Nothobranchius furzeri: one gene and its partners. The protein of the gene in region 3 purifies or fractionates together with the protein of the main gene of each other region. This does not show direct contact. Links are inferred from orthologs where the notes say so. Each region holds a gene or a part of one and is shown on either strand. Other genes may lie near its edges. The genes, in order: plk1, ssrp1a, mcm4 and sf3a1.

Evidence for each region.
Region 1: the proteins of mcm4 (region 3) and plk1 purify together in Homo sapiens (affinity purification with mass spectrometry; 3 studies listed by BioGRID and IntAct, with this or other methods). This does not show direct contact. The link is inferred for Nothobranchius furzeri from reciprocal best matches to the Homo sapiens genes MCM4 and PLK1.
Region 2: the proteins of mcm4 (region 3) and ssrp1a purify together in Homo sapiens (affinity purification with mass spectrometry; 4 studies listed by BioGRID and IntAct, counting the BioPlex papers as one, with this or other methods). This does not show direct contact. The link is inferred for Nothobranchius furzeri from reciprocal best matches to the Homo sapiens genes MCM4 and SSRP1.
Region 4: the proteins of mcm4 (region 3) and sf3a1 fractionate together in Homo sapiens (co-fractionation; 3 studies listed by BioGRID, with this or other methods). This does not show direct contact. The link is inferred for Nothobranchius furzeri from reciprocal best matches to the Homo sapiens genes MCM4 and SF3A1.

Annotation. Positions count from the first base shown.
Region 1 is NC_091744.1:8,886,449-8,890,747, forward strand, and holds the start of plk1 (serine/threonine-protein kinase PLK1), read left to right. Parts: upstream 1-1,474; 5' UTR 1,475-1,654; coding exon 1,655-2,008; intron 2,009-2,323; coding exon 2,324-2,492; intron 2,493-2,602; coding exon 2,603-2,747; intron 2,748-2,821; coding exon 2,822-2,915; intron 2,916-2,996; coding exon 2,997-3,219; intron 3,220-3,343; coding exon 3,344-3,386; intron 3,387-3,499; coding exon 3,500-3,597; intron 3,598-3,729; coding exon 3,730-3,807; intron 3,808-4,299. UniProt on the Homo sapiens protein: Serine/threonine-protein kinase that performs several important functions throughout M phase of the cell cycle, including the regulation of centrosome maturation and spindle assembly, the removal of cohesins from chromosome arms, the inactivation of anaphase-promoting complex/cyclosome (APC/C) inhibitors, and the regulation of mitotic exit and cytokinesis.
Region 2 is NC_091741.1:91,665,299-91,668,910, reverse strand, and holds the end of ssrp1a (FACT complex subunit SSRP1a), read right to left. Parts: intron 2,381-3,612; coding exon 2,245-2,380; intron 2,167-2,244; coding exon 2,121-2,166; intron 2,040-2,120; coding exon 1,907-2,039; intron 1,774-1,906; coding exon 1,606-1,773; intron 1,535-1,605; coding exon 1,437-1,534; intron 1,347-1,436; coding exon 1,172-1,346; intron 708-1,171; coding exon 642-707; 3' UTR 516-641; downstream 1-515. UniProt on the Homo sapiens protein: Component of the FACT complex, a general chromatin factor that acts to reorganize nucleosomes. The FACT complex is involved in multiple processes that require DNA as a template such as mRNA elongation, DNA replication and DNA repair.
Region 3 is NC_091751.1:50,642,752-50,647,080, forward strand, and holds the start of mcm4 (DNA replication licensing factor MCM4), read right to left. Parts: upstream 2,811-4,329; 5' UTR 2,716-2,810; intron 1,973-2,715; 5' UTR 1,959-1,972; coding exon 1,895-1,958; intron 1,807-1,894; coding exon 1,648-1,806; intron 1,564-1,647; coding exon 1,400-1,563; intron 1,322-1,399; coding exon 1,220-1,321; intron 1,151-1,219; coding exon 1,055-1,150; intron 985-1,054; coding exon 889-984; intron 805-888; coding exon 666-804; intron 558-665; coding exon 337-557; intron 228-336; coding exon 107-227; intron 1-106. UniProt on the Homo sapiens protein: Acts as a component of the MCM2-7 complex (MCM complex) which is the replicative helicase essential for 'once per cell cycle' DNA replication initiation and elongation in eukaryotic cells.
Region 4 is NC_091757.1:36,509,356-36,513,620, reverse strand, and holds the start of sf3a1 (splicing factor 3A subunit 1), read right to left. Parts: upstream 2,858-4,265; 5' UTR 2,643-2,857; intron 2,624-2,642; exon of another isoform or gene 2,533-2,623; coding exon of another isoform or gene 2,509-2,532; exon of another isoform or gene 2,455-2,508; coding exon of another isoform or gene 2,279-2,454; intron 2,189-2,278; coding exon of another isoform or gene 2,020-2,188; intron 1,932-2,019; coding exon of another isoform or gene 1,767-1,931; intron 1,691-1,766; coding exon of another isoform or gene 1,521-1,690; intron 1,446-1,520; coding exon of another isoform or gene 1,368-1,445; intron 1,285-1,367; coding exon of another isoform or gene 627-1,284; intron 539-626; coding exon of another isoform or gene 388-538; intron 308-387; coding exon of another isoform or gene 60-307; exon of another isoform or gene 1-59. Other genes in the region: ccdc157 (coiled-coil domain-containing protein 157), read left to right, coding at 60-307, 388-538, 627-1,284, 1,368-1,445, 1,521-1,690, 1,767-1,931, 2,020-2,188, 2,279-2,454. UniProt on the Homo sapiens protein: Component of the 17S U2 SnRNP complex of the spliceosome, a large ribonucleoprotein complex that removes introns from transcribed pre-mRNAs.

The DNA of each region.
Region 1 (4,299 bases), on a different chromosome or scaffold from region 3:
CTGGTTTTGCTAACGCTTTACTTTATGTAGGTGAAAAATTAAAGAGCTCACAGCACCCTTGAGATTCCAGTGAGCCAAAACTGTGGAAGAAAAGAAGATGAAACATGGAGGGAGGTAACCTACTCTACTTTCTTTGTGCCCCTCTGCAGAGGACGTTCAGCTCTCTGCAAAATCCTGTGTAATAAACTAAATGTGTGTAAATGTTGACCCATACAAGCACAGACAAGCTTACTTCATTTAGTTTTCCCTACAGCATCTTCTGTGTGTTGCCATGGAAACACATGGCAGCAGAAGAGAAGGATGAATGTGCAAAAATGGAACAGACACATATAAGCCAGCAATCTCCACACATCACCCACCAGTCGGACTAAAGCCTGAAGACCATTTATAAACAAACACACAAAGTGAAAAAACAAAAAACTGTAAAACACACATATTTTAAAGAGTGTGTGCATAGTAAATAGTCCCTATATTAAACATCCCCCCTTATAACAAAGTCAAATCAGCCACTAGCTGTGCACTCTTACTTTTTGTTTTAATAACTATGGGAGGCTTCAACAGAAAATGATTCCCTGGAAAAAGTGTTGTGGACTGAAATTTTTATTTTAAGATGATGTTACCTATTTAATGATTAGACATTTATAAAGTTAATTCTAGACCATCATGACAATAATCTATTTATGATCTCATTATTTACAGCTGTGAATCCGTGCTGTGTCATATGAAGTGCTTATTGTGTGATTGGTCTGAAAAAAGTGCTTTCTCAAGGAACAATAATTGTGAATTTGTCCACTGCTGCCACCCAGTGGAATATGTGTGAAAGTGAATTAAACTATCAATAATGTAATTTTTTGCAACATCATGATTTTCTCAATTTACCTTTTAACTGTAGAAATACACAATTTAATAGTTCTGTGCCGATATCGTTTTTGCAAACATGCTTTTATTACTCAAAACGTTTGTGCATTTCGTCTTATTTTATTTCAATTTTCGTTTTTATTTTGACCACACTGTCGTTTCACTGTTTTATCCAGTTTAATAATATGATTACATGTTAAAATTAAATCCTTCTTGGATTCTGGATGACGATAAAATCAAGTAAAATCTAACACTAGTCTACATTTACCATCAGCCTTTGCGTTAAGGAAACGCAAGACGTCATTGAGCCAATCACGATGTTAGAACTTTATTTCAACCCCGTTGATTGGCTAGTTTTGCATTTTTCTTCCCACAATGCTTTGCGTAGAATTCAAATCAAGTGGACCAATGAGAAAGCGCCGTGGCGACAGAGCGAGCATTTAACTTAATACTAGAAACTGTTTTCGAAGGGCAGAACAGAACACAGGAGACGCCGCCGTCGGACACGTCTGCTGAATTATTCCATGAGGAAAGCAGATTTATTTTAATATTTATGTCTATATATGTCGTTTTATAATTGTAGAACCTAATGTTAATTATCGCTTGCTTTCAGGAAGTCTAAACTCGTGATTAGATTTAAATTCAGACGTGTATGGGAGAAAGTTAGCTAGCTAGGCTAAAGTAACGTCGGTTGTGTTAGGGTTAGTAGTTTGATTCTTGTAGTTTTCACCACGTTTACTGCGCGGAGAGAAAATAAACATTCCTGTAAGTTCATAGAAGACAGCTCTAATACAAAATGAGTGCTGGTACCGCAAAGCCGTTGGAACGTGCGGATCCCAAATCGGCACCTCTCAAAGAAATCCCAGAAATTCTCGTTGATTCCCGAACCATGAAAAGATACACGAGGGGGAGATTCCTCGGGAAGGGTGGTTTCGCCAAATGCTACGAGATCACAGATGTAGAGACGAAGACGGTGTTTGCTGGCAAGATCGTAGCTAAGTATTTGTTACAAAAGCAGCACCAAAGGGATAAGATGACCTCGGAAATCGCCATACACAAGAGTCTGGATCACGCTAACATCGTCGGCTTCCACGGGTTTTTCGAAGACGATGACCATGTGTTTGTGGTCCTGGAGATCTGCAGGAGAAGGGTGAGTACGATGGAAGGAAACCAGCTTTTCAGTGAGGTTTAGAGCCGACGGTTAAACACTGCGACATCTTCCGTTGTCCTCATGTTTAAATAGTGGGAAGCAAGCAGTACCAGACTCATTTAACACCTCACAACTATTTGATCTTTGATAAAAACATCTTAAAAAGAAACTTCTAGCCTATAAATGTGGGTTTATTGGTCCAGTACCACTCTGGTGGCCCCATGTGTACCATATGTTCAATCTTATAATTAAACGCATAAAAGATCACTCTTTTCTTGAGCTGTTGTCTTGACTGTTTAAAATGCTTTATTTCAGTCCTTGCTGGAGCTGCACAAACGCCGCAAGGCTGTGACGGAGCCTGAAGCTCGCTACTACATGGCCCAGCTGCTGAAGGGTGTCCAGTACCTGCACAACAACAAGGTCATCCACAGAGACCTGAAACTGGGCAATATCTTCCTCAACGACGACATGGATGTCAAAATTGGTACTCCACTTGCTTGGACTTGTAGCTTGCACTAGATCTTTTGTTTTTATCACGTCGAGAAGGATTTGAATCAAAGCATGCCTCGTTATTACGTGTTCTCTCTTGTTTAGGGGACTTTGGCTTGGCGACTAAGATCGAGTTTGAAGGCGAACGAAAGAAGACTTTGTGTGGAACGCCCAACTACATAGCACCAGAAGTGCTTTGTAAAAAGGGCCACAGCTATGAGGTCGATGTCTGGTCACTTGGGTGCATATTGTAAGTACAGGCCCACAAACGCAACTCATTTGAAATGTCCCAGCTGTGAAAGCTTCCCTTTTCTGTTCTTTCAGGTACACTCTGTTGGTGGGCAAGCCCCCGTTTGAGACCTCCTGTTTGAAGGACACCTACAGTCGCATCAAGAAGAACAACTACACCATCCCCTGGGTATGAAAATCAAACTGAATGCACCGTTTTCTTTCTAAAATTAAGTTAATAATTGAGTCGTATGATCTGAACAACCTGCAGCACATCACCCCGACTGCGGCGACTCTGATCAAGAAGATGCTGCACGCCGATCCTGCACAGAGGCCAAGCGTTGCTGAAGTGCAGGCCGATGAGTTCTTTACGTCCGGCTACATCCCCCTCCGTCTGCCCACCACGTGTCTTACTGTACCCCCTCGGTTCTCCATCGCCCCCTCCACAACTGCAGAGCTCAGCCAGCGGCGTCCTCTGACTGCTCTAAACAAGGGTAATGGCGATCAAAATGAAAATCTTTGTTTTTATTTTTCCTAGGCAATGATGTTTGAGTTGATCCACATAGATTTTATTAGTCTTGTTTTAGATGTTAACGTTTTTTTTTTCTTTGTTCCCAGTTGGTACGGAGAAAACGGAGGTGAAAGACGAGCCTATGCAAAGGTGTTTTTCATTTATTTATCACATGACAAACATTTTATAAAAATTCTAGTTCTGTTAGTTTTTATCTTTTCTTTGCGTAGATGTTGTTAACCTTTAAATGTGTGTGTGTGCAGGGCGGCTGAACCATCAGAGCCCTACCTGAAAGACATGCTGCAGCAGCTGAACAGCATCATGTCCACCAAACCCTCTGAAAGGGCCGTCATCCAGCAAGGTTAGTGGACGTGTCTCACTTCGTCTTTACCGATCTTGTGGAGTCTCTGTTGCTATTTCTCTGAATTTTGTCAAAACGGATGCGGTTATCTACTTTTTAATCTACATCTAAGGTTTTTTTGTGTAATTCCAGAGGAGGCCGAGGATCCTGCGTGCATCCCCATCTTCTGGATCAGCAAATGGGTCGACTACTCTGATAAATATGGATTAGGTAAATGTTAGGAGACCGTTTGTTTGTTCACATAAGCTGCAATTTTAACTTTGTAAGTTTGGTTTAGACTATTAAAAGTATATACAGGGTATCTGCAGGTCCATAAAAAGTCTTAAATTAGCTTTTCCAAATTTAAGGCCTTAAAAATCCTTAAAAATGACAAATAGTCCTTAAATAGTTTCCAACGGTCTTAAATTACCAAAGACCCAATAAACAAGATTCTTTTATTTCTATAAAATTTTCATGAATTTCTAGTTAGTTTGGCATTTTTTGTGTATGATATTGGCGTAAGCGGAACCGTACACATTCGGTTGGTTGTGAAAGGGGGCTATTTTTAGATGAGCATGCTAGTGGGAGTTTGCACCATGGGGAAGTGCAACATTAATGGTAAATGGATGGCTAATCCCACGTTCACGACCTGGTTAGCACCGGTTCCAGGCAATAGCTGGAAATTATAGCTTAAATTTAATTTAAAAAAAAAAGAAGCTTAAA
Region 2 (3,612 bases), on a different chromosome or scaffold from region 3:
TGGTCAGACACAAATTATATTCCCATTGGGAACTTGTGGTTCATCCTCACAAAAAAAAAAAAAAATCTTTAAATATTTACCTGCAGTGTACAATTACCCACCTGAGTGACAGTTTCCGCTTTTGCTTGGTCTATGGTCATAATGTTATGGCGGAGGGATGTATGGTGCATAAAACATTTCACACCAAGTTTGAGTTTTGTTTTTACAGACGAAGAGGGCAGCAGCAAGCCAGAAGCATGATGCTAGTGGTTGTACGCAAAGGAAAAAGATTACTGAAAAGCTTTTATTTTGATTGAGAAAACATGACAAGGCAAAACAAACAAAAATATCACTTTGAAGAGCACTAAACAGAAGGAATATTCATCTGGAACCTTCTGGAGCATCCACTTGATAAAACTAGTAAGTCCTACAGTCCTCAGTGCTGTTTAACCAACACAACCATGGGTTGGCTGGTGATAAGCTGCAGGTATCCCATCATGCATCTGAGCTGCTCAAATATCACATTACAGATCCAAACGTGGTCACAGGGTTTTATTGTTGTAACCACATGGAGAATAAAACCATACAACTCCAGTTTGCTGACTGATCTGAAATCATCAGTATAAACAGTTGGTCCTTGGTGTGTGTGTGTGTGTGAGTATCTAATCAGACTCTGGCTCTGAGCTTGCCGGTGTGGACACAGCTTCCTCCTCCTCTTCATCCGATTCCTGAAGTCAACAGAAGAGCTGGTGTTATCAGCAGTAGAGGCACGATGAAAGTGTTAAAAGTTCTGATGCGCTAACGCCTCACTGATCAGATGCTTGTACATTAGACTAGTAGAGTTCAAATTTAAAAGATGAGAGCTACTCTAGTCTGTCGTTTACACGTCACGCTGCTGCTGCTTCTTCTAAAACACGGCTAAGCTGTAAAAAGAAAAGCAGAGGTGAGATTCTGATCTTCAGAGCTTTGAACTTCTTTGTAGCAAAGATTACTAAATATCAGCTTCTCCTCTTAGTAGTCGGTTGAGGACACGGGGGGAAACTGCTGCTTTTTCATTAAACTGATCTGAACTGGGACGCCTGGCTTTAATGAAAACCTGTGTCCATTTAGAATTAACGTATTTATGAGTTTGTCATCACTCAGCAGAATGACTGTCCTGACTACAGACTGATGTTCTACCGCCGGCTCCTACCTTTTTCCTCTTGCTTTTGCTCTTGCGGTCTGAGTCAGAGGAACTGTCCTCGCTGGTCTCGATGAACTCTCGGCTCTTAAAGCTGTCGTTGCCTCCGCTTCGCTCCCTCTCTTTGTCTGCGCCCGCAGACTTCCTCTTCTTCTCATCCTTTTTGCCTCCAGATTTTTTACTTTCTCTAATGATCAGACGTGTGGAGGAAAGAAAGCAGATGTGTAACAACTCTGATGAAGAAACATAAAAACTGCTCCTGTGATGAGAGCCTTACTTCTTGGAGGTGGAGGTGGATCCTCCGCCGCTCTCCTTGAACTCCTTCTTAGCTTTGTCGTACTGCTTTTTTGCCTCTCCTGCCTTTGTTTCCCACTCCTGGAGGGCACATCCGTGTGAGTTTAATAAAACGCAGCAGAAATGTAAAAGCACCTCTGTGATGTTCTCACCTCCTTCTCGTCTTTGCCCAGCTGCCTCCACATCTCTCCGGCTTTCTTCGATATCTCGGTGATGGAGATGCCGGGGTTCTCCGCCTTGATTCGCTCTCGGCTGGAGTTGAGCCAAAGCATGTAGGCGCTCATCGGCCTCTTCGGCCCACCGGTGTCCTTCTGCTTCTTCTGTTTGAATTTAGGATATAAGAGTCAGCAGTCATGTCGAGTTCGATGGGTTAATGTACGGCACAGCCGGTTTATGTTAGATCGTGAAATCAGGCTTTTGAAGCCTAATGTTCTCCTCCTGCTGGTCTCTCACCTCTTTACGTGGTTTTCTCTCCTTTTTCTCCTTCACAACTTTGGCTTTTTTAGCCTTTTTCTTCTTTGCACCCTCATCTTCACTGTCCCCCCCCTCTTCGCTGCTGTCACTTGCAGAGGCGTTACTATCGTACCTGGAAGAAAGGAGGAACAGACGTTTACAACAACTACAGGTATCATCTCAAGCTTTAAAAATGAAGTTAAACCAAACTTACTCTTCTGCAATTTCATCATCTTCTTCTCCAGGGTTGAAGGACTCATCTAAAGAGAGAAGAAAACCCTCGTTCAACCATTACCATCCTCTCATCGCGAGCGGTTACATTTGAAACAGTCACTAACCGCTTCCACTTCCATCCGACTCGTCGCTGTCATTGCCCTCCTCTCTGATCTTGCCCTCAGCCTTCATCCTCTCCAGATAGGCATCGTGCTGGTCTTCGTCTGAGTCGCTGTACTCGTCGATTTTACCCTTCATGCCCTGGAAAGTACGCAGCACGGTCAGGAAAACACCACAAACACACAACGTCAGAGCTAACACGCTAGCCCAGACTGTGGTTAGATGTTTGAAGGTGTCGCGGCTTCACAAAGCCTGAGTTTTGCTCGTGGGACACCGTCCTCCCTATCCGTCTTGGATCCAGCATCAACCACAGTCAAAGGAAACACAACCAGTAACCAAAACAGGAGGTGTGACGTTTCAGCTCCAGATTGCACCGTTACTAAAACACTACAAGCAAGTTAGCTTTGACCTGTTTCATGTCTAAAATCACTTTGACTACAAACCCTCAAATGTTTTATGGTCCAGGACAATGAAACTAAGCATCACCGTTACCAAAAGGAAGACCTACACTCAAGTTAAATTTGAGTTAGTGAATTTCCCTTTTCCCTGTTTGAACCAGGCAATAGTAAGTTAACACTGGGGATGTTCTGACCAAAACTGGCCAATTTTCATAAAAAACAAACAAAAAACGTGTGCAAATTCCCATCAATGCCTTTATGTCCCATGCTGTGTTGCAGCCTGCGGAGACCCTGTGTGCAGCATCGCGATTCCCTACCCCCTTCTGTCGCACTGTGCATGTGTGCAGCAGCTGAAGTGCAAACACGCGTCTGCCAAACGGAGGGTGATGTAAACGTTGCATTTTGCAATGAAAAAGTATTGCATGAGGGAAGCTCTCTAAAATGCATCAACACAATGGACTTAATATGACTCTTAAAGAATAAACTCTTGCAGGGATGTGAATTTTCAAGGCTCACTGCAGAAATAGAATAAAAACCTGGAGCAGCTAACGGAGTCAGACGCAGCGGCACACACTATCACTCGTCTGTACGAGTGCGACAGTCGGCAGGCTGAGCATCGAACTTGAAAAATAAAGCCATCATAGATGAGCAGCCTGTCTCTGTGGTGGATGACACCAGGTCCAGCCCACTAGGACCCGCTACAGGTATTAAATAAATAAATACACATAATAATAATAATAATAATAATAAATCAAATAAAATCTCACAACACACAAAGATGTGAGATTTATCTTTTGCTTTTCGGCACTTTTTACTCAGAGCTTTTAATATTTGAAATCTGTTTTCCTTTTGACTGAATCGTTGCTGCTTCTTGCAGCACGTTGGTGTAGACTCAGTCATCCTGGATGTGATCAAGAGTTTTCTGGTTTTCTTGAAGTTTTGCCTCATGCTAGAGGCTCCATCAGTTCTAAACCT
Region 3 (4,329 bases):
AAAAGTCGATGCACTCAAGTGAAATGTGAACTGATCTTCTCAGGTTGAATGTTCCAAGGGAATTATTGTGACGTTTATTCCTGCAGGGATGAGTTCGAGGTCTTACCGGTGATGTTTACTCTGTCTCCAGGCTGAACTTTATCAACCAGGTCATTGTGAGCGTACACAACCGTGGTGTGAGGCGTCTGCCCGGCCGGCATGTCTTCGGGAGACTCCTGAATTTTGATCTGTTGCAAAGATCAGTGAATGAACAGATGTCAGAATCTGTCAACGCATCACTAAGTACCACCTGCCACATTCAGATGATGATGTCACCATGAAGCATCAAACTCCCACCATCTGTTTGTCAGAGAAGACCGAGCGGTTGTGAATCAGCGCCAGACTGTGGGTGTTGTTGCAGTGGCGACACACGCCCGGCTCGGCGATGCGGCCGCGATCCACCTCCATGCGGACGGTGAAGGCGCACACCTGGCACTGGAAGAAGGCCTCCTGCATCTCTGGGATGAGCTGCGAGGTGCGGATCACCATGCCGCTGATGGTGATTAGCTGATCGATGTCTGTGGGGGCGACAAGCGTTAGTGTTCACAGAAACCCCACACAAAATATGGGATGGGAGGTTTTGCATGTGCTCATCTGGGCCTGAATTAATGAACACACACACACACCTTCTGGGTTCAGACTCCTCATGTTTCTGGTTTTCAGGGCGTTGTAGGGGCGAACTTGGATCTGGTACTCCAGAATGGAATCTGGGAAACGCTCAAAGAAAAGCTCATTGACGGCCATGTCAAAGGTCGGGATAACTTCCTGCAAAAAAATACACAACAGGATGTTTCCCACTTTAATAATTTACTTTTTCTCATTTTTAAAGTTTAAACGGAACTACCATACTTGTGGGTAGCAGATGAGCTGCCTGTACAGGTCTGCGTCAAAGGACTGCACATGTTGGCAGTTGACGTTTATCACGGGGTCACCCACAACGCTGATCTGAGAGACGAAGACATGAAAGTTAATACCTGAACACGATCTGCAGGATCACGGTAGAACCAGCGAGTACCTCTTCCAGCTTCTGCATGTACAAAGGCTCATTTAAGTCCAGACCAGCGTTCTCATCCTCAGTAGAATTTGGGTCGATGAACCGCTGCAGAAACCTCTGAAAGCACAAAAAGATCATAAAGACTTGTTCTAATAAAAAGACATCACATATCAGTTACGGTCATACCTGGAACTTCTCCTTGCAGGTTCCCACGTTGACATCAGTCCCCCAGATCACCAGACTCTGGGCTGCATTTGGTTCATTTGCTGCAACACCATCTGCACTTGGCTGAAAAATAAAAATGAATGTTTAGATTCTCTGTTTTCAGGCTGGATTTGAAAACATTAAACTTGCTCTTCTACTGACTGCATCAGAATGAAGATCAACTTGAGGAGCCTTCCTGACTGATCCCAGATCAGGTCGTTGTCTGGCCGGTGTTCCACGCACTCCACTGCGCGGGGTCCCTTCGACCCTGGAGCTCGGGGTCCCATACATCAGAGGGGAGCTCATGTCCACTTCATTAGGCAGAACTGTAGCAATCCCATCAAACAGATTAATAATCTCATTTCAGTTTTATTCTATAAAAGGTCATAAAGAATAAAACTATGAAATACCTGAAGGCCGCGGGCTCGAGAACAGGGAGGTGTCTTGCTGAGCTGCAGGACTGGCCATGTCTGTGGCTGGAGAGGTGGGCATAGGCATCAGGTCACCAGTGGAGGAGTCCTGACCTCTGCGTCGCTGAGAGGGAGGCGAGGTTGGGTCCTCCCTAAGCGCTGAGATTTACACAGAACATCAAAGTAAACAAAGCATGCTTCACAACAATAAATCACATCACAGGGATGAACATGTAAATGAGCGTACGAGTGGAAGGGTTGGTGTTCCTTCCACGTTTGCGGCCACCAGGAGTCGATGCAGGGGAAGACATGGCTGATGGGATATCTGCATGACAAAAAACAAGACTTAGGGTGATTTAAGCGTTTTTATGTTCAGACTTGATCAATACATTTCTTTTCACGATGCATGTTTTGTTTGGATGAAAGAAGCTTCGTAAAAAAATAATCAAAAACTGCCAACAGTTTCTGTACAATTTCTCCATTCTACGCGTTGGAGTCATCATGTTGATATTTCCTTAAATCCAATTAAATTAACATTCAACCAAATACTTTCAGAATTTAGTTTTTACTTTAAATAGTAACAAGTTGACATGCTGAGAGTTTTGGTTAAACTGTAGGCAGTTTATTACTGGTTCCTATTGGTGGCCGGTTCAAATAGAAATCGCTTGATTGTCAGACAACTACACAGAACTCTGCAGTGTCAAACCACGACAGTCAGAAAAATCTCGCTTAGCGGCAAAAATGACCTACAAACTTCATTAACAGACTCAACTTATCTGGTCACGTTAACATTTTCCTTCAATAAAAGGTGTTCTATGCTCATCCGTTAGTTTTAGAGCCACTTATGCTAACTTTGGACACCATTTGACATGTGGCTGCACAGACAATAATGAACCTCCCTGCCTGTTGGATTTCACTGGATCTGCGAGTTAAATGTGACTTAAATAAAAACAAAACCCAAACATTTGCTCGCAATTAAGATGAGCTTGTTTGCCAAAGCGTACAGTTACTGAAAAGCTACCTACCGATTTAACAAGGATTAACTTGAAGAATTACTGATTTTCTTACCACTTTTGTGTATGTCCGAGTGCCGCAGTTGTGGCGCGAATCTGCTGCTGACGTAGATTTCGCGGGGAACTTTCAGCCAATAAAAAGTAAGGACTGTCCTCCCGTTTCCGGCCGACTCCTTTACTTCAGAGGTGTGTACGGTTAAGTTTTGCTCCTTTCTGCTCATTAATAACTGTACAATTTTACATAATCCAAAAAACTATCAAATTAATTTTAAAACGTTTGTTTTATTCATGTTAATGTTCGCAGCCTGTTTTGTGAATCCTACGTGAAGTGTTTTGTTGATCACGCCTCCTAGCTGATTTGGTTTCGTCCAACAGGAAGCGACTTTTTCTTGCGATTGAAACATGAAATGGCAAAAGTGCGTTATTATGGTCATTATATAATCAGGCTACAGATTTAAACGGACAGCTGATTGTGAAAATGGGATTTTCACTGTTATCTTTCATTACAACATTTTACGTCATTTCTTATCCTAATACGGCTTTACAACGTTTGGCTAACTTATGGAGACTTTGAGACTTTGGCCCAAAACTATTGAATTTATTGACCTTTTAAAGTAATGTTTATGACTAAGTTTCCATTCTTACCCAGTTTCTGAAATGTATCTTGGAATTAATTATTGGTGGTTAATTAATATGTTCATAAATGATTTATAGCTTATGAAAAGTTCTTGATTAATGAATTTAGAAATATATATTTTTTTACAGAGGAGAAATCTGATCGGTATGTTTAATTAGCTAACAACAGGTGTTGAAACTTGTACAGCAAGTTGTTAACTTGTCTGAAAAACATAATAAAAATAAACAAATAAATACCAATTTCTGAATTTCCGTGAGTCTCTTGAGGTCCGATTTTCGTGTTAGACAGAAACTCAACATATGTGTGGTCTAGCTTGGATATTTCCTTTTTGCATTTATTAAGACAGCATACTTTAATTATGTCATAGCATGACTACATGTTCTGCAAGAAATTATTTAATCAATAACTGAAATAATACTAGGGCTAAATAGCTCACTTTCTTGTTGTATTGGTTGGATTTCAGAGGACTTCCGCCATCTTCTGGTTCAAAATATGCAATACAGACCAATAGTGTTGGTAGAATAGAATAGTCCCACAGTGGAGAAATTACCTTGCTACAGCAGCACATACACTTAGAGAAGACTAAGAATACAGTTAGTACTAGAATAAATTATATTATTGCTTTACAAAATAGGGATTAAAGAGAGGTCTGTTTGTTGATTAAATGATGATGTTGCTGCGATGGTGTGGGTGTGATGTGCTGATTACACGGTGGTCTGTGAGCACTTAACCATGAGACATAACAGTTAAATGTGCTCTTAATTGAAGAGGAAGAAAATCAAATGTTCGAAGTAAGTGTGATCTGCAGGTACAAATACAACCACCGTGTGGCGCACTTTCCACACCAGAGGGAAGCATCAGAGGAAAAGTACTACAAACTTCCAAAGATGAAACCATGAGAAACATTTCCGAGAAGTGTCGGCCTGTCGGTGATTTAGGAGAGCCTCTCAGACAGAAACAACCATTTGAGATCATCAGAAAAACGACGTTAACAGCTTCAACTTGAGTTAATGCCTGCCAGTAGCTTATATA
Region 4 (4,265 bases), on a different chromosome or scaffold from region 3:
GCAAATGAGCTCGACCTTTTCATCGCATCGAAGACAGAATTAAACTAAATCTGGGGATCATGAGTGAGCTGTTAGGTAGTCAAGACTGCATCAAAAGCCTCCAAAAAGATCTGGCGGACATCCAAGCAGCCATCGTGGACGTCTTTTCCAGAACAGGACCGGTCAGCTTTACCTCTTGGAAGTTCCCTGACAAACTCTCCTGTAATGTGGACATGTTGGCTCTGCTGGAGGAGTACGACTATGTAGACGGAGAGGATGCCTTCAATCAGCACTCCCACATTGTTTTACTGGAATTAGTGATTGACAGGTAATAAAATGTGTTTTATATGTTATGCATTGTTACCAAAGTAATTCTATTAACATTTGCCTTTCTCCTTTTCTAAAAAGATTATTGCTACTTCTACAAAGTGTTAGTGTTTACAATGAGGTGCCGAGAGGCAGACAGAGAGGAGAGCAAACCCAGCAGACAACATACTTGTCAGTTGGACTCGTGGTCAAGAACTACTGTGGGAATTTACTCCTATCAGCCAACAAAAAGGTAGTATTAATGTTAGAAAATACAAAATACTCTAAAAATTGCATTTTAAATGAAAGATCTGGATACTTTTATGCTTTCTTTTTCACAGGAGCCCTTTAAAGATACAAAGCCATTTGACTCCAACAACACAAATATGGTGCTGTCCAACCCTGCTATAACTAGCTCGAAGACTGAACTTAGTAGCTTTTGTGCATCTGCCTTGTCTTCAGCAAGCTCATTTGATTTTGTCCCACAAACTAACAACACTCCATGCTATCCTAAAGCTGAGCAGCATCATGTGAGCTGCCAGACAACAAGTTCGTCCCTTATTCCCTGCAGCGCTTGCCATCAGGTGCAGTCCCTTTTGAGAAACACGGGAGATGCATTGATAGATCTGTTACAGAGTGAGGGTTTGCCCTCATCTCTGCAGCCTCTCGCAGCAGCTATGGAGGACATTGTGGGTGACATGACATCAGGCGATGTAGCCCAGTGGGCCGAAGAGCAGCTCCGGGACACGAGCCGGCTGACCAAACATCTTAAGGATGTCCAGGGTACTGTGCAGCCTCTTGAAGAAAGAATTGCCGTAGCTGAAATGGAACGTGACAGTTTCAAATCTGAGCTGGAAAGTGCACAGAAACAATTCAAGCAAGAGCTGGAAAAACACCAAATAAACTCTGTCCAGCTGGAGTTTTCTCTACGGAAAGCACAGAGATCCTCAAAAGAAACAGAGCAAAGGCTACAAAAGGAGCAACAACAGCTGAAGAGAGGTAGTTAACACAATCGGTTTTATAACAAGAATGTATTGACATCATAGTTTTTACTATAAATATTTTTCACATTTTTGTGACAGAAAATATGTCCCTGGAGGAGACTAATAACAGACTAAAGGAGAAAATAGCACTGCAACATGACAGCTTACAAGTGCTTGGTAATGAGATGCAGATTCTGTCATTCAACACATCTACAGTATGATGCTGCATAATGACGATTCATTTGCTGGTAGAAACTGAAAAGAAAGCACTCCATGAGAAAGTGAAGAACCTGCAAACAGAGAAAGAGGCCTGCTGCAGACTGCAGGAACAGATCCAACAGCTAGAAACTCAAGTTTCTGATGCTACATTTCTTCTTGACAAGGAGAAGGCCAAGTACAGGAGCGCCTGTCGTCAGCAGGAGGTCAGTGTCACTGTAAAGGCCAGCATAGCTATAAAGGGGATCCTTCACACTGTTTTCAATATAATTGTGTATCCAGTCAATGCTGGCAAAGCAAAAGTCGTTGCTGGAAAGAGTTGATGCTCTCGATGAAGAGTGCGAAGAGCTGCAGAGGGAGCTAGGAGAGAAAGAGGAGGAACGGATCACCTTACACAATCAGATGTCAAAGGTGGAGGAACAGCAGGCTCAGCTCATGCAGCAGCAGGTATATATGTGGCCTAAAATGCAATACAATTGTACTGTAAATGGCCTTAGTTATAATAAAGTCTGTTTTGTTCTTGTTCTTCCATCAGAATTTGTGTGAGGAGCTCCAGAAGGAGAAGCAGACATTAGAAGTAAATGCGGATGAGTTGAAAAAGCAAGTGGCTGACCTGACAAGGCGTGTGGACTCTTTAAAGGAGAGGGAGAGACTGCTGGTGGCTTTCCCAGAGCTCAACAACTGGTCCCAGGCCCAACCTCAGAGTAGGTTGCTACTGAATAACATTATCTGATTATATTTGATTAGATTTATTTCCAGTATAATAATAGCACATGACTTTATTTACATTCTAGGTACAGGAAACTTGATTTTGGATATGGAGCAACAGCTTCAAGCAAACAGAATTCGTATAAAAGTGATGGAACAGGAAAATGCTACTCTGCACAAAAGTCTTGAGAAATTGAAAACAAGAGCTCAGCAAAATGCCTGCAGGGTATGGATGTACACAAAGGAGTTTCATGTGAAGTAGATCATGCACCGTTGGGATTATTATAACTCATTTGTAATGTATGTGTCTGAATAGGAACCTGCACCTCTGCAGACATGAAGCCAGTTTTATTCCTTGGAGTTTCATGTAAAAAACCAGATCAACGTGGATGCAACTGACTAAATAAAAACCTTATTGTTGAAAAAACTGAGCTGACATGTTTTACTTGCCTTTATTAGAAACAGCGTTGGTTGCTTTATTAATCCTCGTCAGTGCTGCATTTCCTGTTTAGAACACGTCAGCATAAAGGTCTCTGAGCTTGTTCTCTCTGTTCCCAAACTTCATCTTGTGATGTGCAGGAAATGCGGGGGTCAGTGAAGATATGCAAATGATTCTGTTGCGGCCTTTTACCACCCAAAACGAAATAATTCCAACAAAAGGCCATGGGTGGCAACCAAGCCCCCACAATGCCGCTCAGAAAATGGTCCCATCCCGGAAGTAAGAAAAATTGCAGTTCCACCCTCATCCGCTGGGGGCTGGTGCCAGAAGCGAGCAAATCCTCATTGACTCCCATGTTAAAAATGCCGATTTCACAGCAGAAATAAACATGTTTACAGCCTGGTGCCAAAACATGTTTTTTGTCTAAATTATCTAGTTTATACTCATGACAACTCTGAGGGGGGTGAATTTTTTTCTCACTCTTCTGTTTAAGTGTATTGAAAGCCTAAAATTCTGTATAATTAATGAGCATCCAACACACGTGACCGCCGCCTCAGACCCACGTGACCACAGAGCTAGCTCCGTGGAAAGGCCTCAGTACAGCCTCGGTCTGGCTTGGAAACTGCTCCGGCATTTTGAGTCTCTGTGTTTGTGTATTCTTCTTTGGATATTATTGGTGCAATTGTTGGACAAAATGACTTGCAGTGGTATTAATTGCACTAATAGAGCGTCCAAGGAGTCTCCACTTCATTTTTTTCGGTAAGTTAAAATCTATATTCGTATTTTATGTCACTGCTACCTTTAAACTAGCTGAGTTTACCGAAGTAGCTAGCTAACTATCAGTTTAACATGTAGCATGTACTGTTTAACCATGAAATTTAAATGTAAAATACGGTAAAATAATTAATAGGGCATATTTAGATGGGTAATAGGGTAAAACCCAGTGCATTTAAGATAAAAATGGGTTGAAATATGACGGAGCGCTAAGAGGGAGACTTCTGTGTCCATTCTTCCATCCGGTAATCCCCAGCGGTCAGGCCGGGCAGCCTGGACGATCCGGCGCCTATTTGCTGCGCCTAGCTGCTGCGCGGTCTGACCGCTCGTGGAGTTTTTCATGTCTGACTTTAACCGCATCTAATACTGTATTACGGCGTGAGCGCAACAGCGACAACTTAATATCGATGTGTAAGCAGCCTGAGTGGTAGGGTGTTTTCATCTGAACCCTCCAGCAGGCTATGCTGCACTATTGACGTGTTAGCGCGCGGCGCTAACAACTTAGCAACGTGACATGTCTCTGAGAAAGCGTAAAACACGGACGCTTCTTCTGAAGCGGAAAATAACACCTCTTCTTAAGCAGAGCAGGATGTCGCCTCGGCTCGTTCACGGCCGAGCCGGACTGAGCTCGATAACATTGACCAAGCACAGCCACTGGGTCGTTGTAGCTGCCACCAGGCCTGCTGAAGGAACTCCAGCGGGTTTCATCAGACTCGTAAAGTTTCTTGTTTTTGCTGGGGATTTCTGTATTTTACCGCTCCCTCCTGCAGTCTTCCCCTATTAAAATTTAAAATGTGTAACTTTATGTATTGTGATGAATGACTAATATTCATGTTAAACTGAAACGTTAGGCATTTAGG